2 linked regions of the Oryzias latipes genome follow. The protein of the gene in region 1 binds, or shares a complex with, the protein of each later gene. Links are inferred from orthologs where the notes say so. Each region holds a gene or a part of one and is shown in the gene's direction. Other genes may lie near its edges. The genes, in order: raf1 and ras-related protein Rap-1A.

Region 1 (10,143 bases):
TCGTACTCTCTTGGCCAACTCATATTCCACTAAAACAACCCAAAATAAACCACACATGGCAGTTTGGTTTCCATTTACACCAGTCTTCCATCTCATTTGACTGAGATGCTCATCCACAAGCTCAGAGGTCCTATAGATTCCCGTTTGTTTAGTCCCACTTGTTCATCGCTGATCACCAGTGGCTTGGAAAGGGGGGGGTTCTTCAACAAAGCATTATACATAACACCGCTACCAAACTAAAACATTTTATTTTGTATTGAATGCAGAAAGATATTTTTTCACCCCTTTCATTGTATTACATGTCTAGAGGCTCACTGGCCCGGGACTAGCCTCTGTTAGCCAACCTTTGGCCAGTGAAGAGGATTCAGAGAAAATAATACAACCAACCATCAATCCGAAAAATAAAGGAGGGGCAACAGAGGGCACTGCTTATGCGGTCGCTTCGATGGTGCACTCTTTTGCCAGGTGGCCTGCCTTTCCACAATTGTAGCAGTTAGTCTCGCTGGCTTTACTGCAATGCACTGCGACGTGACCGATCTCACCACACCTGCAAGAGAGGAGGAACGGGGCCACGTGACCAACCCAAGATGACAAACGTGCACGTCTGAAAAAGACGGGGAAACTTACCTGTAGCATTTCACCTTATCGCAAAGCTTCTGGATGTGACCGAACCCACCGCAGGAGTAGCACTTCTGCTCGTTGGCATGGTCGCAGTCACGCGCCATGTGGCCAGCTTTGCCGCAGGTGTAGCACAGCTGCTCCCTTTCCTTCTTGGGCTCCTTGCAATCCCTGGAAATGTGACCACTCCTGTGGCAGTTGTAGCACGCTAATAAACGCAAGCCAAAAAAAAGCAGTTTACAACTACTGTTAGCTTAAAGAAAATAGGTCCAAAATTACTAAATTGGATGCTTTGGTTTTAACATGTCAATACTTTTTTTTTTATACTAAAAAAGCTGCACACCATCCTCAGTTTGGTCACAATCCCTGGCCATGTGTCCCTGGTCACCACAGCGATAACAGAACAGCTCTGAAAACACAAGAGAGCATGTTACGTTACTTTTACTATAATTATTAAACATTTTGCTTCAAAATTAGAGAAAAAGATGTGTAAAAACGTGTGAGGTGCAGGTGAACTACTCTAGCCGTAGTCATAGTAATGTGTAGTACCCTTGCCTCGTCCCCGGCCCCTGCCACGGCCACGCGTCCCACTGGCGTTGGGACAGTGCTTGACCCAGTGCCCAGGGCGTCCGCAACCAAAGCACTCGCTGTTGCTGCTCATCTCCATTACCTAAAAACAGACACAAAACTAAAATAACTATATGTGCTTAAAGAAACCTATAGTGGGGTGGAGCAAACTAATCAGCAAGGACACGTTCTCTCCTGAAATTTCAGTGGATTCATGGGAGATTTTGACGTGATCTTAGCATTTGTAACATGCAACTTTATTGTGTTTTTTAGTATTAGCAAACCAATTCAGTTCAACACAGGACTCCCATCACAAATTACAAGCCAAATGACTAAATGGGAGGGTCTACTCTACAATCAGAGAGGGATTTTTTTTAATCTATTTTAATTTTCATCTAATGTTGCAATCCTAACTGTCAAATGAAGCCAATAAACTACAATTAGCAGCTACACTGACTAACTTACAAGATGTCCTCAGTGGGATCATGTTGTGATTGTCATAGGGCCAAACTTCAGTCTGCTGAAGACATGAAGTCAAGAAGGGCTTTAGTTCATAAATTGTTTAGCTTTCTTTTAGACTAAAGTTAGCAAAAATATATATACTGGCTGTCATAAATAAAACAGGACCAAGTATTAATTAACTCGTGAGCAATTGTCCCTTAAACACTTCTTTGCTGAAATTTCATTAACCCCAATTAACATGTGATTTAAAAAGTTAATACTTTAAAAGCATAACTTGTGTGACTTTAAAAGCTACACTTTGAAAAGAAGAAATACAAATCCTAACTTGAGATATTGGCTGGTTTTATTTTAAGCCAAACGCCATTAGAGGCCGGAGGATGGCCATGCCGTGGGTAACTTTATGTCCAGGGGCCAGCACGCCGCATCGTGTTTTGATTTAATGCCTTCAAACTCAACCAAATTGATGGGGCGTTTTGCAAACAGTGAAACGCTTTATGCTGTTTTAAATACCTTGTGGGGGGTTTCGTGTGTAAATTGCCCAACACAGAACATGTGGCTCTGAAGCGTTTAGGCGCTCACAGCAACAGAAATGCCAGAGGTTGAGGCAGCATGAGCGTCGGCCTAGTCACGTTGATTTTTCTGCGCACTCGCGAGACCGTTGCTGGCTAGCGCACGCGAGCTCAGCTAACCACCTCATGACCAAGAAACGCGGTTCAGTCGACGATCAATCATCGCTGCCCAGTAAAAGGATGCCGATCCGGGGTTATTATCGATAGTTCCTTGCGCTAAGTGTTTTTCCAGGAGTATCAGATTCAATATTGCGTATAAACGAAATTTCCCGCCAGGGCGCACTCACCAAAGTCGTTGTGATGTGCTAACGTTAGCAGGCCGGACTACGAAGCCGATGCTGAGTTAGTGAGAGCAAACAAATTGACAGTAAGCCGTATTCACAACAAAATTAATCAAACGTCTACGCTGGTTGACATTTTGATTCATAAATACAAATGTTGCAAAAGACCTTTAACACCAAACGGTTATAATATCGCAAAGCCGTTTTATTGCTTACCTTTATGGCTACCTAGCTATGTCACTGTTTACGCCTCCTCCTCTGCGCTGCATGCGGTGCAGGCAGGAGTTCCTGAATTGTCATTCACAGTATCCAGTAAAAACTCGCCCTCTGATTGGCTACGTGCTCGCCAAGTAACCAATCACAGACCAAGAAGCCTGGACACCGCCCCTCCAAATAGGCTAATCGTTGAGATGAGACGGTCCATATTTTTCCCTCCTCCGCTAAATTAGTCGTTTTCTCTTCGCTTCATTTCAGACATCTAAAACATCTGGAAGTGCGAGTACCGCCCGTATGCTAGGAAGAACACCAAACATGGCAGCACTTTAAAGTTTAAGAGAAACATAATACAATTGAAGCCAAGCTAAATTCATGTTAAAATTAAGGGGGAAACTCTTTATGTAATTAACACATTTTTAATGTCAACCAATCTGGTTTTGGATCTACATTCATGCAATTTGGAAATTGCATGGAGGTTTGATTTTTAGTGGCTGAATTAAAAAAAATATTTTAACACTTTTTCATTAAAAAAAATTAAAATACATGAGAAATGTGAAAGTAAATAACTGAATAACTCCGATTTTAATAGACTGTAAACAACAGCTGTATTACAATTATCTTTATTCCAAATAAGCCAAATTTAAAGAAATAAAGTAAAAAGACAGATCCTTAAGCTGTTTACTGGAATTAAACTAATAATGGGTCAATTCAACCTATAGTTTATGTCATTGTTTGTTTGTAAAACAATAAACTTTAATATTTCATCAGTCTTCTATTTATTTTTGAGTATTGAAAGGTACACATGTCATAGGAGCTGAAAACATCTCAGCTAACTGTCCTGAGTGCTCTCCTAGATCAATACGTGGAAGAGACGCTTTCACCAGTCTTAAGGTGGATTTGGATGGAAAGCTTTCGTCGTTTGATTTGTCTAATATCTCATTTTTGCATCCTATTAAATCTGATCATGTCTAATAACTTGTAATGGATCGATCTGGATTGTGTAAAATGATGGATTTTATTCAGCGTCACTAAAAACAGAGTTGTGGTTCTGCATATGGGCTGGAGCACCTTAAAAGCCAGCCCCATGACAAAGCCCTGCCCCATCCTCACTGGAACACTGTTTAGTATTTCTGTGTTTCAGTTACTTCTGAGATTGGGTTAGAAAAGCCTGCTGTCGGAGAAGATGGGTGAAATGTGAAGTTACGGATAGTTACAGATGAAAAGTGTTTATTGGGAAAGTATAGAATAAACCTACAGCTTTGTGGCTTTATTGTCTTGGTAAAACTGTGCAAAGAGCTGCTCATGGAGATATCCAGCGCTCAGGACACAACACACTGCCTGGTATGATGATAAAACTCCTTCATTGCTTTGGAGGATACTGGAGCCATCTGGGATAAGGGGACCTCGGAGGATCCTTTCAGGCCAGGACGTCACAGAGATGATGATCACATGGTGAGATAAGTTTGGTATGTTTTCAGAATGATACTGCTTTAAGAATAAATGGACATTACTTGCCAGAAATTATTATGGTTAAAGATCTTACAAAGGTAGAACAAGTAATGACGTGGTTCTTTTGTTCTACTTGGCTAAAATACCAGTTTGTATTGTGATTATTTATATTACATGGCTTCACATTGTGGTTTATTGATATTTTTAGACCAAATATGTCAGTTTTGGCTCAGATTTACTACAAAGAAGCAGATAAATTTCAGGGTTGCAATAACCCGTCTGTGCCACCAGGTGGCGCGCTTGGAAATGTAATGAAATACTTATTAGCCATGAGCGTAAACCAATGAAGACCTCCGGTGTAAGTCCATTAGCTTTTTGCGTTTTCTGAAAGATTTGCAAACGTAAGTAAACATAAATGCGCTTTTGAAGCAAAATAGCCTAAACGAACACTTACTGGGGGATAAGAATGGACGAAATCCGGTGTAAAATATGACTTCACAGGTCTGTATTACAGACAAAACTGTTTCTTTTCAATTATTTACGAATAAAGCCGAAGAAGTGGGAGGACTTCGGCTGGTCCTCCAGCTGCGCAGTCAGCGTGAGCGATGCTTGCAGGTCTTGTTTTGACTGCAAGGTCTAGTTTCAATCCGTGGCGTCGGGCGGACGCACGCCTTCAAATCTAAACAATGTAAATAATGGAGCACTTGCAGAAACTAATGGAGGTTCGACTTTAAAGGTGAATTAAAAAAAATCTCAGTACAGTCTGACTTTTTATGCGAACAACATTTTTGTTCCAATTTAACCACCGGGAGACGAGGAAGAAGGAAAGTTTTCCGTGAAAGAGACTCGCCTGTGACCTTTATATGAATGCAACATTCTCCGGACGCAGAGGATTATTCGACACAACCGAACCGGCGGATACACGTCTCCCCCCGTTTCAGCAGTCCTGACGTTCTCTCCATCTTTTCTTTGAATGCGTTGCAAAAAAAAAATCCTGATGATGTCACCGACGCCACTTTTTCCTGAAGTTATGGCGGAGCCCAAGTTTTTGAACTTCTCTTGGTGAGCACGTACTGGCTGCAGCTTGCAGCATGTCTTGCTTGTGTTTGCTAGCTCGCGCGAGGAGTTAATTTACTTCCACGGAGCGCACGCGGACACAAAAATGGACTCTCGAAACGAAGGGAAACCGAGTACTAGGATAGCTTTGGACTTCACTTATTGGCGAAACGGTTCGCCTCTGAGGGCCTTCAGACTCTAACTGTTGTAACAGGAACTATAAGGCCTCACATAACATCACCGTTACCCACTGGTAGAGTTGCCATGTTAGACACGGTCTTCGTTTAATTCAGCTTTTATTTGTTAATGCTCTGCTACCTTAACACGTTCCCATACGTCATCAAACAGTGCTACGCTGCTGATAAAGTTTTTATCCACACTTCAAACTCAGGGTTTGGAGCTGATTGTTTTCATTGGAGTTTGAGTGGCGTAACCGCCTATAAAATTAAATATGGGGACTGTATTTCACCCCCAAAGTTAAATACTGTCTTGTGGATGGATAAAAGCTCTTGTCCTGCAGAGTACAGTTAAAAAAAAAAACTTTTCTGCATATTAATCATGGCTCCCGTGACAGCTAGCCAGTACTACTTTACAGTAAATATTGCCCTCGGAGACTGCACGTTTTGGGGTAAAACACAATAGAGGTAACTGGAAAAGGGGTTTTTTTTTTTGGGAGGGAGGGTGAAAGTAAACCGGGAAAAACACTACCTGTATGTGTGTATCTATATTTACAACATAAGGCCACAGTGTGCACTAGAAACAAAGCAGAGGGTTCGGTTGTGATGGTTCATCCCAAGCTGTGAACACTGACTCCAGTTATTTTTAGCTCTGCTTATTATGTGTGTGGTTTTAAATGGTACACAAATCCTGATTGTTATCATCATTCCTATATTTCAGGTCAAACATTGAACGTATATTTAGTTCAATTGTTGTCGTTGCACGTTGTGCAATTGGTTCATTTGTCTCAGATTTTGTGTTACATTAGCCAAAATGTCCTTAATTTTGTTGTAATACTGTTTTAACGGCTGCTGCAGCCCCCTCTGAAAGGGCCCTAGTCTTAGTTTAATCTGGTGAGGGCATACCTAGTGAGATTATATTTAGAGATGACCTCAATTCCAATTTTTGACATCTAAATAAAATGTTTTCCGCCTTAATAAGAGGCAAATGTTGCTGTCGGCTGAGTATTGCTGTTTAGCAAAAAAATAAATAATAATAATAATAAATAATAATAATTAAATAATAATTTTTCTCCACATGACCCAGTCTACATAGGAGGCGAGCATCTAACAAAACAGGGCTTTACTCGATTGATCAAAGATGTAAAGGGGACATCTGATTGGTCAAATGTGCAAGAGACAATATTTTTTAAGTATGTCAAGCTCCCATGAAATTGTTTTAACATGTGTGCAAACATTTAAGGTAACCATTTATTGCAGTGTACGACGTCTTTTGCAATACGTGTATTGCACAGGCTGGTATCACCATGGCGATACATTTTCCGTTTTGTGCTAGGCCTAATCCAAAATTGCACAACAAATCTTTTACAACTTCTCCCAAAAAGATGCTTGAGCTCTTGACCATCTTATTTTTTTTTTAGACTATCGTGACAGTTCGCCTTACTAATGGAGCACCTTCAGGGAGCTTGGAGGACTCTGAGCAATGGATTTGGAATGAAGGACTCTGCATTTGAGGGCCCCTGCCTTTCCCCGACCATGGTCCAGGGTTTTCCCAGCCAGCGACGCTCCTCAGACGACAGCAGGACACCAGACTCCAAGGCCAGCAGCACAATCCGTGTCTACCTCCCAAACCAGCAGCGCACTGTGGTGAGTTCAATAGCGCAAAACTTCATGCCTATTTCCAGGACTCTGAAATCGACTTCCAAAACAGTGCACACATGTTGTAACTAATTCCCATTCTGTGTCAGGTTAACGTACGACCGGGTATGACTCTTTTCAACTGCCTCATTAAAGCGCTGAAAGTGCGAGGCCTGCAGCCTCAGTGCTGCGCCGTCTTCAGGCTACATCCAGGACAGACCAAGTGAGTTTTAGAACTAAAAGTGTTTTCTAAGCAGGGGTTTAAAGACCCACTCTGAGGAAAATTGTGTTTCTAAACATGTTCTAGTGGCATATAAAATGAAAATTTAGCTCAAAAATGAATTTCTGAGGATTATTTTATTCAAATTGTATGAATTGAGAGCAGATGAAAACATTCAGTTGAAAAAGAGTGCATTTGTGACGTTGAAAATACTCTTGGTGGGCCACACGACTAGATCGATGTACGTCTTCATTTTCCTCATCCAAGCTGACATCTGGTTAAAAACTGTACGGCTGGAGACTTCCAATATTGCGTTCTGTTTTCGTTGCACCGTTAATGTTAAGTGGGGGTTGTGAGGGGCTGTCAGCTAGCGGGAGGGCGTGTAAACAGAGAGCTTTTCAGCAATGGGGAGTGGAAGGGCGGCGGGGTTGCTCCGTGCCAACAGTCCCGTCCACAATTCAGATTTTAATGTTTAACAAACCACTGTCACTCTGCAAAAGATGATCGGAGTAGGACTGTAAAGATCCAACACACACAGATCTTTAAGATGCTCTATTTATGTGTTGGCTGTCTTGTTTCTTTTTTCACTAGCAAGAAACTAAGGATGGACTGGAACACCGACTCGACCTCTCTGATTGGAGAAGAGCTGCTGGTGGAGGTTTTAGATCACGTTCCCTTGACGACGCATAACTTTGTATGTGGTCTGAGTATCTTTGACAAACATTTCATAGATTTCCAGACATCAACACTATATTTTTTGTTGTTGGTGTTGTCGTCATTTTCAGGTTCGTAAAACATATCTCAAGCTAGCATTCTGTGACATTTGCCAGAAGTTTCTCTTGAATGGATTCCGCTGCCAAACCTGCGGCTACAAATTCCACGAGCATTGTAGCACCAAAGTGCCCACAATGTGTGTGGACTGGAGCAATATCAGACAACTCCTGTAAGTATTTAGGAGGTTATTGGATAAAGTAGCTATTTGTGCACAGATGTATCAAGTGGTTTTTGGTCATTTTTACCTTCACCATTATCGTCGTTCGGTTTAGTTGCCATAGAAGTAGAAAGGTCACCAAGACCAAAGAGGAAATTCGTGTCAACTGCTGCTGCACTTTTTAAAAATCATTTGCATGTTTGTTTAGTGAATGTAGAAGTTGTCTTTTCATTTTATTTCATGTATGCAAATTTATTATTTAAATTTTCTTCAAAGATAAGCAATAAAACCAGACTATAAGCAGACAGTGCTGGGAGTAGAGGAATGTGAAGGAATTCTAAAAAAAGAAAAAAATTTCAGTAGTTTCTCTGTTGAGACATGACCACTATCCAAGTAAAAAACAACATGTTTTCCTTTATTTAGTGAAGCAAATGTTGGTGATCGAGATGTTTATGATTGTCAGCATTCGTTTTAAATGGTTTTCGTACCTTCAGGTTATGTCCGACACCCGGGGAGAGCGGCGGCCCGTCCTTCCCGCCGCCAACTTCCCGGCGTGTGAGGGACTCCTTAACTCGCTTTCCAAGGTGAGATTGTGATTGTTGGCCTCCGTCTCATCCTCAAAAGATTGTTTGATTGATGCTTGCTGCCGTATTTTTAAGTGCAGTTTGTTTTAACAAAAATCTCCGTTTTAAGGATGTTTATGTTATCTTCTCGAATGCTCCCCAGTTCACCGGTTTATCTAACCGGGCGTGAACAGAGTTTCTGGGAGCGAATAAAACGGCACAAAAGACAATCGAAGCTATTTGAGCCACCAGATTAGCGGCCACAAAGTATTAAATGTATTCTATTTTCAGGATCCTCAAAAGCGGGACAGTTTGCAACAAGCAGAGCGGATGCATGCAGTTGGTTTTCATTGTCTTTGTAGAAACTCTGAAGTCATTTTAGACAAAGTCATGGTGTTGTCTGACAGGTTTTGGCCTGATCAGTTAACCTTCATCTCTAAATGCTTCTGCAATCTCAACCGAACACAAGAAAGGATCCAGATTAGATCATTACTGACGTTTTACATTTTTGGATTTTTTTTGGAGTGCATTCACTCCTGAACTAAAATAAATATGGTTTAGCTAAGAAAAAGTAAAGGACGGAAATGGTAGCAAGAGAAGGTCACTTATAAAATGAACGTTTTCCTTTTTGGGGGCCTCCACAGCTCCGCCCACAGATTCTCCACCTCCCACGCCTTCAACGACACAGAGCCTTACACGCCGCCGGGCGGAGGTCTCTCCCAGAGGCAGCGCTCCACGTCTACACCAAACGTCCACATGGGCAGCACCACTCTGCCTGTAGACAGCAGCATGATCGAGGTAACTCCACACCACCCTGTCTTGGTCCAGCAGGTCCTGAAATATCCCCGTGTTTCTTGTCAGCCTACATACATCTTAGGCATGCCAAGTATTTCTGCCTTCCCTGTTCTACCTTTTCCCCTTCTTTTTCTTCATTAGTCTCACGCTCCTCTTCCTCACAACCTGTGAATCCCAAATCTCCTCAGAGCTGACATCCCGCCTCCAACTAGATCTTTGAATAAATGTGGCCATTTGAATTCAAGGCAGTAGTGTTGTGATTTACAGGCTAAATAAAGCCCTCTGTGTGCTGTCCAGTTAGCATCCTTTTTCTTCACCCTCACTTCCCTCTCTATTCTGTCTCCTCTTTGGCCTGTTGTCTTGTCCCTTACTGTGGAGTAGCTAGACTGCCTGAGCCCCTCTGCCAGCTCCTGGTGCCACAGATTCTGGCTGAAGAGGAAAGTAGGTATTGTGCACTTCTCCCAGTCTTTTGTTGAGGTCCCATCTGAGAGTCCAGAACAGGTTAGAGAGCTGTGTGCAGTCTGACTGGCATGCCTTTACCTGTCTTCACATCTTATCGCCTGGGTTTAAAACCACACATGGCAGCATGGCGTGGGCTTTCG
Region 2 (10,043 bases), on another chromosome or scaffold:
CTCCTTTATCCAAACAACTACTTTATCCTTTTAAAAAACCTTGTATTGATATACCTTCTTTTGTCTCTTTCTACTTTTGAGTAAAACATTCATAATCCATTTTTTAACAGTGCAATCTTTGTTGATGTATCCTTAGCAACATACAGTGAGGCAGCTTAAGAAAACATTCAGATTGTTCTGTAGTTATCATGGGACAAATGACAGGAATATTAATTGTCTAGCTGTTATTGAAATCAGGTCTTTAAAGATGACATGTGTCTAAAACTTAGAGATGCCCTACTTTAATTACTTACCAGGTGTCAGAGTGTGGCTTATCCCCTGAGCTAGTAGGATTAAGGTGCTGTCAGATGAATTTAGAACACCTATGTGTACGTTTGCTTCAGAGGACTGTGCTTTTAAGAAAGGACTGTTTATACATGATCTTTCATATTAACTTATAGTCGTACCAGACACTAAAACGCTGCTATTGTTACCAATTTGTTCCCCTTTTTTAAGGAATGTCAGCCATATATATCCCCAAGCTTCCTGATTCCAGGTCCTGACTTGTTAAAGAAATCCTTGAATTGTTGTTTGTACCAGCAGACATGGCACCTGCATGTTTGTTTGATGGTAGATTTTGTCTGTGCCTTCTCTTGCAGACAGTTCAGTTTGTGCAGGGAATCTTTGTGGAAAAATATGACCCTACAATAGAAGACTCGTACAGAAAGGTGAGTGTGTCCTCATGGGATGTAAATGCTATTAAGCTGTCTGCCGATGCTTTCTTTTAGAAAATAATCTGGTTTATCCCACTCATTTAATTCTTTACTGACTTTTAGAGTTTTCTGAATTTCATTTGAACAGTGAACAGTTTGAATTGTTGCCATATTTTCATGTTCACTTGTTTTCCTCTTTTCAGCAAGTGGAGGTAGACGGGCAGCAATGTATGCTTGAAATTCTTGATACAGCCGGCACAGTAAGTAAACCTGACCTCATTGACATCTCTGTAAATATTCCCTCTTCTTCACATACTCCTGAATGCATTTATCAAACACTTTCAGACGTCAGAAAATGTCAGAGAAAATAAACTTTCTCAAATCTTATAATCTCCTAACAAAGTGAATTTAAACATGATCCAAGTGTTGCTGTTTACCCTTTTTATTCATCTGGGTGCAGTGGGCACTAAACCTCCCCTGCTGTACTCATGCAAGATGAGCCTTTTTATTAGTACTACATAATATTTGGAGGATATATAATAGATTTTTGTTTGATCTCTTAAGTCTCAAACAAAATGTCAAATCTCAAGTTTCAAGATACCAACACAGGCAATAACCAGAGTTTATACACAATAAGGAAATTGTCAGAATTAATTCTTCCTCTTTGTTTTTTTCTTTTCAAATGTAGGAACAGTTCACAGCGATGAGAGACTTGTACATGAAAAATGGCCAAGGCTTTGCCCTCGTATACTCCATCACAGCACAGTCCACCTTCAACGACCTTCAAGACCTTAGAGAACAGATTCTTCGAGTAAAGGACACAGAGGATGTGAGTGTACTCTTCATGGGGGGTACTTGCCATACTTTTATAACTCCTCCCAATCAGCTCAAAATAACCTCCAGTATCCTGCTGACTTTGTCAGAATTAGCAGGCATTTGAAATATTTGGTATTGATTATTGTAGTGTTGTTAACATTATTTAGATACATTAATCACAAATTTACTTTGTATACCAGTTGGTTTTCTCATTATCTTATGCCGCATTTACACTGAGTGGGGGCGGCTGGTTTCAATGTTAAGTCAATGTAAACTTAGCAACAGTCGTGCAGTGGAATTCCAGCATGTTAAAAAATTTTTACCTGAACATTTGGGAATATTTATGTCACGTCAACCAATCAAGAACTCTGCTTTAAAAAAACTGGGCAGTGACGTGTTGTTGTGATCAGTCAGAAACCGACATGGTGGAGACGCTCAACGCTGCTATTTGTACTCCTCCCAAACTTCATGTTTTTTCTTATTTTTATTGATATTTGAGACAAGAATAAAAAGGTTCTTCTTTTACTTTATTCCTTCCATGGACAAATCGTCAAACTGGGCTTAGAGAAGTACAGTTGTGTCAGTCATTCAGATACAGCTCCTACATGGCGAAACTCACGTACTGAGACCTTCGTTGAATGATCTCATGAACCCAAGCTTAGGGACATGCTTGCTGGCACATTTGCAAAGCTGTCCAAAACAAATAAATCCAAGCTACTCTTTCAACATCATCCATGCCTTCCATAATGTAGCAATGAGGCACTTCAAAACGTATAGCAGTAGCTCCTTCCACATGCATATTGACCTAAAGTGAATTTCTGTGTGATTTATAAACACACTTTTTTACACACCATAAGAGCAAATTTGCTGCATGGCCAAACAGAGAGGGAGAAGGTCAATTTGATGCAAAAGCCACATTCAGTCTGAACCCAGCATAATGCTGGAGAGTGAGGCAGGAGTTGTAAATTGACTTTGAGTTTTCCAACAATGAAAACAAATGTACTCCTCTTAAGCATCAGCTCTAAATAAGATGCTTCTTATTTTTGGTTTGCTTTTTTTGTTCATTGTTCAACAAAGTACAAACCCTGATGGTCCCTTTTGAAAATATCCTCCAGTTGACTTGTGACATCTGAGTAAGCTCCTAATTTCAAATAAAGCAGAACTATGGCAATGTTATTTTTGGAAAACCAGCTGTCATCTCTGTATTTTCCAAATGTTTGTTTCAGTAGCTATCAACTAACTTTCTTCCTCCTTTTTGGAGGAGCAGATCATGCGTCAGCAGGATCTAAGATGCCCTTTTTTGGCGATCTTTGAAGGGATTGAATGTTACCGTAACCCCTACCCTTTCCTTTCCTAACTTCGTTTTCCTCTTCCCTTTTAGCCGTCAGTATAACTTTTCTCTTGGCTGAGTTTTGCTCCACTCTTTCTGTCCTCCTGGCTCCTTTCGTACCGCATCTTTGCTAGTTCTCATCTTTGTTTGTTTATTTTTTAATGGCCTCTCCAGCTCTTGCCCAGTTTTTATGGTCTTCGTTGTGGCCTCACTGTGGTCTGGCTCTCTGTTTGGGTGATTGGACTGTCAGGGATGATGTGCAAGGAAAGCTTCAGCTCATCAAAAGCACCCTAGGTTGTAAAGCTGTGGTGCTTCATTACGGTCTTTGTGGTTAACAAACCAACATTGGCCTCAAGCTAACATGTGGGCTGGAGGATCCATGGCGTGCAAGAAAGCATTTCATTTACCTTTTCTACCAAAACATGTTCTTTTCTGTTATTATTAAAAAGACTTTATTTTCAACAGTTTTGCTTGTCTGGCTGCTCTGTCAGCTTTCCACTCGGACGTGAATTGGGAATACACCTAAAACAGCTGGAACATTTGTTTTTGTCTTAGCAGGAATGCTCTACCAGAGGAATTTCTAAGCATATTTTCTTTTAATCATCTGTAAAGACCCATTGCTTATTTGGGTTTAGTCTCTAGACCATTGCAAAGTTAAAACAGATCATTCAGGTTTTATTTTTTTTATTTGCCCACACCACCATATGTGTCTCCTGACGGACGGCATTGGGAGTAAAAATAATAATAATCAGCATTAAAAATCCTTCTTCCTTTACTTCCTTCCACAGTTCTTATGTAAGAGATCCTATGACTTTGCTATTTCTGCCCGTGTCCATCATTGTATTATCTCTGTGTTTGTGAGTCACTCAGACAAAATGGCTCGTTACTCATTCTATACTTTGATGTTGTGCATTTTTGTGGGACCTCCTCCTAAATGTAAATGACATTTTAATTCAATCTAATGAAAATGGGGATTCTTTAATTACGGTAATGCTTCCTTATGTCCTGCTGACAAACCTTATTTTTCCCCCATCTCTGCATTCCTGTCTTTCCATCCTTGTTTCTTGTCCCGGCTTGGCTGAGTGCTCGTGCTTGCAGTGCACTCCATTGCTTTGCTAGCAGCCCATACAGAAGTGTTGCTCAGCAGTTCAGTGAAGGATTGTTTGGATATCAAACATCAAGCAGGCACCTCTGTAGGCTCACTGTATACACGTCTGTTTCCTGTCACGATTCTCAAATGCAGGAATGCAGAGAGAAAACTTTTCTAGAAATGTATTCTATGCTTTTTTTGTCTCAAAGACAGTAATCGCTTAACAAAAAAACAAGTGTTTTTTTAATCAACAAGACAATCCTAGATATAACTTCTGGAAGAGAAGAAGGTAATAAAGATGCGACTTTCTGAGCGTAAATTCATGTTTTTTTTCTACTGGAGGCCAACCACAAATAGATTTCTCCTGGCTGATATTTTATTGATGGCTGTTGTGCTGTAAAAGTTTCCATTAGGTAATTGTTTGTTTGTTGGAGGCCAGTGGCAAAAATGGAAACGTCTTGTGAACTGTGACAAACATTGATGCCTCGCTTCTTTTACCCCCCCTCCTCACATTTCCCAAGTAAACTAAACTGTTAAACACACAAAAATGTCACACACTGCACAATCACACACCATCATCTAATTCCACTGAGCAGCTGAAGCATGGAATACAGCTGAAATGTTGGAGAACATTCAGGAAGGAAAGCAATGTTATCCCGGCTGGGCGGGGCCGCCATGACTTCCTACGAGCCAGCATTCTCCCAAGATAGTTAGTCAGGAAACGGCAGACAGGATGAGACGCATCCCGACAACCCTCACTGCTCTGTGTTTGCAGATTGTAATAGGGAAGCCCTAAACTGGACTAAAGGTTTCCGTCCTGCTCCACCTTTTTATTTGTCCTGCTTCTTACTGTAAACGTGTTAATAAACAAAAGGAGAAGTGCTGTCTGTTTAAAGAGATCCAGTAACCACAGATCAGCACTCTGTCAGCTTTCTTTAGAAACGTCTCTATTAAAGACAAACCAAAGTTTTCTCAGCAGTTTCTGGTCATTTTTGATTAGTCAGCTGGTAATTTTACATTTTATAAGCCTTCTCTAACTGTCTGCCTTTTGTCACACCATTGGAGTTGATAGGATGGATAGAAAGCCCCTTTGCTGTCCTGGAGGAAGCATGTGGCAGATCAGTCTAAACTTGTTCAGTTTCCAGTTGCATGTAGCTACGTATGTCTTTTGGATGGCTGAAAGCTGTAAAAAAAAAAAAAAAGGTTTTCCATTTGTGTGGAATGTATGTGATTGAATGTCACGTCGACAGAATCTCATTCTAAGGTGAAAAGTTTGAACAGTGACTTGTTAGCTTTGATAAAAAGACAAGACTTGAAAGATTCTGTGCAGCAGTTTCACCTTCAAATCTTATGGAGGCCTCTTCATCACTTCATGTATTCAGCTTTCTGTCTGACATTTAAGAATGCCTAAACAAAATAGGAAAAGTTTGTGTTCTGTCCTTTGCACAGCTGGGTATGCCACTCCCTGTTTTTGTTCCATAATATTAAAATGATTGTGGAAATTTGTATTGTGATGAGTTGATTCGGGGTTAAAGCAGATATGGTTTTCTTTTTTTCTTCATTTTTGAATCCCTTATTGATCCTCATGCATACCTGGAATACATTATAATTGTTTTTATTCATTCTGTTTTTTCTTTTTTCTTCATTAGAATATTTTTTAAGACTTTAAAGTGTAAGACAGCTGAAAAAGGGAAACCTTTGACCCTCTGGGAAAATGGGTCTCCCTTGTGACACAGACCTGCCAGTTCTATTTTCTCTAAGTGCTAAAGAAGCTTTAGCAAAGTCTGCTCCCATCCAGGTTGGAGCGGGGCTTTTTTCTGCACTAGTCAGGGTTAAATGAAGATTAACATGGATGACGTTGTTGTGGGTGTTTAGTCAGTTATCGACTAGTAAAGTTTTATCATTAAATGGTAAACTACTTTCAGGATTTAAGTCGTCCCATAACATGTGGTCTTTTGCCTTGAACTGCAGTCACAGATGGATGTTTGGGCTGTTTTCATGCTTAGCATATGTTGGATGAGAGCCTGGACTAACACATGCAGAACAGAGTAACTATGAAAAACCCATAATGTCATAACAATCCGATGAAAGACTTGGGTTTACCTATGTTAGATTAATGCAATCCAAACAACCTTCAGTGAAGATGATGTAATGTGCTTGAAACACTCTCTGTTTGCTGAAACAGTTCAGTGCACCGATAGTTTTTAGGCTAACAAAGTAAAAAAAAAAAGATTAACATGCAGTCTTGCCTGTTTTCTACTGTTTTTTTTGTTGTTGCAGGTGCCGATGATCCTGGTAGGGAACAAGTGTGACTTAGAAGATGAGCGTGTGGTGGGGAAGGAGCAGGGCCAGAACCTGGCCAGACAGTGGAACAACTGTGCCTTTTTAGAGTCATCTGCTAAGTCAAAGATCAACGTCCTTGATGTGAGTCCACTTAAAAGCACGAACCTGGAGGTCCAAATCATTGAAAAGCAGGCAAATGCTTCAGGAGTTGTTGCAATCACCTTTTTTTTATTTTTTAATTAAAGTCCTTAAATCATGGATGGACTAAATTACAGATTCCCTTGCTTTTCCTCCCTCTATAGCCCCAAATATTTTGTTTTTATATCCCTGTTATTACTGTAGTAATGCTTTTGTCTACATTTTTACAAGTCAAAGGAAATGTAGGGATTGTTAGAATTTTCCCCCAGCCTAGAGTTTTTCTTCAGTGTAATTTTTCCACCATGCTTTCTAGATGAATTGGAATGCTTGAACATGTCCTTGTTTGTTTGACGCTCTAGATCTTCTATGACCTGGTAAGGCAGATAAATAGGAAAACGCCCGTGGAAAAAAAGAAGGCAAAAAAGAAATCCAACTGTGTCCTGCTTTAAACACCCCCCTCCAACCCCAGCAGCAGATCTGAGCCAGGTGAGTGCGGGCTTAGATTGTGTAACGGTTTATCAACAACACTCAAAAGAGCCCCCCCTGTAGAGATTAAAAGGGAACAGCAGAGTTTTTAAGGCAGCGTAACTTAGTCGATGATCTTATCTGAACCTGATTTATCCGATCTACAGATCCACACATTCAGGAACGCGTGAATTTAATAGACGGTTGCACTTCTATATCTAGTCTGCCAGTACATTTTCTTTTTTTATGACATGTTTAACACATTCTTAAAATGTGCACAGAGGCCAAGAAAGCCTTTTTTTTTTAGCCTTTTTAATTTTAAACACTCATGTGTTTTCTGCAATTATAATGTTTGAACCTCATCAAGTTCCAGCAGCTTCAAATATCTGAGGAAATCTTGGTCCATCCTTGCAGTTTCTCAGAAGTCAGAGGAGCTATAAATACTCTCTAACTAGACTTTTTTTCATTTCATTACTTCCCTAAAACAGTTCGTAGACATGCTAAAGGAGAACAGATCAGAAAATGTGAAACCAGGCACGCTCTCTTTGATTAACAAATATTTCTAAACAGAAATCAATCCTTTATGACCTAATTTACTATCAAATGTTCACAATGTGGTTGTATCTTTAAAAACAATTTCTTTTTAAATTTCTCTTATTAATGTTTCAGATAAAATAGAAAATTCTTTGGAAAAATATTGTATTTATTGTATTTATAATTTGTTTTGTCTTTTAGTCTTCCAAAACTAGGAATATTCCTATATTTAAACCTAATGTATCCTTCCACAGTTGATATTTTAATATTTATTACAAAAATGTCAGTAAACTCTGTTTTTCAAAGATTTAAACGTTATTTCATATTTCTTGGGCTTTAGCTTTAATTATTAAAGTGTTTTTATTTCATGAAACTTGTGCATGTTTGGAACAATCCAGCTTTCCTAACACAGAAATGCTGGATCTTGCTTTAAACTAGGAATCAGATATTTTATCTGCATGTGAACAGTTTGAAAACTCCTGGAATATCAGATATTTAAGTTTTTGCAGCATCTGATTGTTTCTTAGTACTAGAACCAGGTCAAAGTTATATTTGCTTCATTTTTAAACGAAAAAGTGAACATTGCCATTTTGTCATGAATGGCTTTTCTCTTCCATCAGCTGTTATTTCATTAGAGATCTGCAAAAACACATGACTGCATTTAGCTTTAGAGATCAGTGGCCTGTGAAAATAGGAGGAATTCAGGAATGATTTGTTCCCCTGAAGCTGTTGCAGCTTTGAACCACGCATTGTGATGGTGTTCTTCCCTTGTAATTGATTCCTTCTAGGGAACAAATACCTTTCCATCCTGCCAACAGTTCTGCAACACGTCATCATCACTTCTGTAAAGCACAGTCATATTTACACTTTAGTGTACTGACTGATCCCAAGCATGAAGTGCTTCTGCTAAACCTTCTGTTAGCTGCTCAGATGTCTACCAGCTTTGCATTAAAGTCCCCCTACGATGAAAAGCATGATTTTTGAGTTTTTGACATGTACGTGTGGCATTTTCCTTTTTGAAAGAGAACAAATGTCAACTTAACCTTTCCTCTGGGTCCAAGAAAAAACTTCCACACTGGCTGCACATATTTGGAAAATTATGTGTGAATACACACTTTCTTTCTGGCATTTCATTTTATTTGCTGTGCAAGTGAATTCAATCATTTTCATGCGCTAGCACCAAATCAGTTCTGAGCCACAACCAGTGCAATGTAGCCTAAATTATAATGTCATTCTAAGCAGTGGGATCAAAGGCGGGGCTACTCAGCTCAGCACCAACGGCCACGCCTATGTAGAGGAGATTTTGGAAACGGAGGCTTCAGATAGACATAAAATATGGCTTTTTAAGACATTTAGGTTGTGGGATTTTGGTTAAAAACTTCATAATCATAATTAAAACACAACTGGGAATGTTTTCCTGAGAAAAATTGTCATGGGGGGCTTTAAAAAGGAAATCAGCCTGCCTTCTTTTACTACCACACCTTTGTGTTTGCAGTAAGGCACGGTTTTTAAATGTAACATGTGAATGGCACAAATGCAAGTCCTAAAGGTTCATAATTCAAATGCAGCACAGAGAGAACGCTTTTAGTCACTTCTGCTATTTACTGTTTGGATTTAGTGTTGCTGAACCACCAGGTTTGTAATTTTTTTAAAACTTTTCGTTTTTTCCCCCTCCTCTCCAAGCACACTTCCAGTCTGTTTACATATTTAGGCCAATGTTGACCGAGCAAAACGTTGAGGTTGCCATAACAAAGACGTCACGCGGGTCTACGAACACCTTCTGCTGTGAACAGAGTTGGAGAATGCACAACTAAAATGACTGATAACATCCAATTGATCAAACATAAATCGTTAGATTCTGACAGCTCAAAAGCGCCTGGTGTTTGAACCCCCAACCTCAGCCTTTCTAATCAGCGCTTCGTTTCCTTTTTCATGCTCATATTGTGCAGATCAATGTCAGCTGCAGGATAAAGGCTGAGATTGTTTTACCAAAAAAAAAAAAAAACAGTTTGAAGCAGTTTTCCCCCCAGTTTGTTTACATTCCTTCTCAGAGGACTGATCTTTGGAACATTAGAAAGACAGGGACCTTTCTCTGTTTTGCCTTTGTTTAAACGTCTATGGATTAACTTAGAATCCACAAGTAAATAAACAATAAATCCGGTTTACGTGTTTTATGGAGAGGAGCCAGTGGATGTGAGTCTGAAATCTGCTCAGAATGTAACCCAGATGCCTCCTAATGAGGCGTTACCAGGATGTCGAATATATGAGGAGGCCCTAAAGCAAACGCAGGACACGCTTCAAAGATGTATTTCAGCTAACCTGGAAATGCCACTGTATCCCCTGGAAAAGGGGGTCCCAAAGCCCATGTAGTGGGAACAGTAGTTGTCAGAGTTGGTCTGTATGTGCATTGGTACACTCATTTTTATAGGAGTGAGCAGCTGCATTACTTCCGCACTTGTAAAATGTCCTTTTGAACACTCAAGCTAGAAATGGATAAACATGGGACTGCCTCTCTTAACAGAGTCCAGGACAGGTGAGCTTTTGTTATGTCAAACCTGTTTCAGTAGATGAGATTTGACAAAAACATGATTTTTTTGCATATTCCATCAAAACAGCATCATAAACGGCAATAAAATACAGCATGTGCACATCCTGTATCTGCTGTTTGGCACACGCATTCATTTACAAATGACGT

The links.
Region 2: the proteins of raf1 (region 1) and ras-related protein Rap-1A are in contact, whole or in part, in a crystal structure (PDB 3KUC), measured with the Homo sapiens proteins. The link is inferred for Oryzias latipes from reciprocal best matches to the Homo sapiens genes RAF1 and RAP1A. Residues at the interface, in NP_001341619.1 of Homo sapiens: Thr57, Arg59, Asn64, Lys65, Gln66, Arg67, Thr68, Val69, Val70, Lys84, Lys87, Val88, Arg89, Gly90; in NP_001010935.1 of Homo sapiens: Val21, Gln25, Ile27, Val29, Asp33, Pro34, Ile36, Glu37, Asp38, Ser39, Tyr40, Arg41.

What each region holds. Positions count from the first base shown.
Region 1 is NC_019865.2:17,674,088-17,684,230, forward strand, and holds the start of raf1 (RAF proto-oncogene serine/threonine-protein kinase), read left to right. Parts: upstream 1-3,546; 5' UTR 3,547-4,179; intron 4,180-4,480; exon of another isoform or gene 4,481-4,563; intron 4,564-4,638; exon of another isoform or gene 4,639-4,663; intron 4,664-4,707; exon of another isoform or gene 4,708-5,224; intron 5,225-6,815; 5' UTR 6,816-6,840; coding exon 6,841-7,041; intron 7,042-7,142; coding exon 7,143-7,255; intron 7,256-7,843; coding exon 7,844-7,946; intron 7,947-8,037; coding exon 8,038-8,195; intron 8,196-8,677; coding exon 8,678-8,767; intron 8,768-9,390; coding exon 9,391-9,544; intron 9,545-9,922; coding exon 9,923-10,042; intron 10,043-10,143. Other genes in the region: cnbp (cellular nucleic acid-binding protein), read right to left, coding at 430-547, 628-826, 962-1,027, 1,168-1,285. UniProt on the Homo sapiens protein: Serine/threonine-protein kinase that acts as a regulatory link between the membrane-associated Ras GTPases and the MAPK/ERK cascade, and this critical regulatory link functions as a switch determining cell fate decisions including proliferation, differentiation, apoptosis, survival and oncogenic transformation.
Region 2 is NC_019863.2:11,455,672-11,465,714, forward strand, and holds part of ras-related protein Rap-1A, read left to right. Parts: intron 1-638; coding exon 639-707; intron 708-895; coding exon 896-952; intron 953-1,380; coding exon 1,381-1,521; intron 1,522-6,208; coding exon 6,209-6,352; intron 6,353-6,708; coding exon 6,709-6,798; 3' UTR 6,799-6,835; intron 6,836-10,043. UniProt on the Homo sapiens protein: Counteracts the mitogenic function of Ras, at least partly because it can interact with Ras GAPs and RAF in a competitive manner. Together with ITGB1BP1, regulates KRIT1 localization to microtubules and membranes.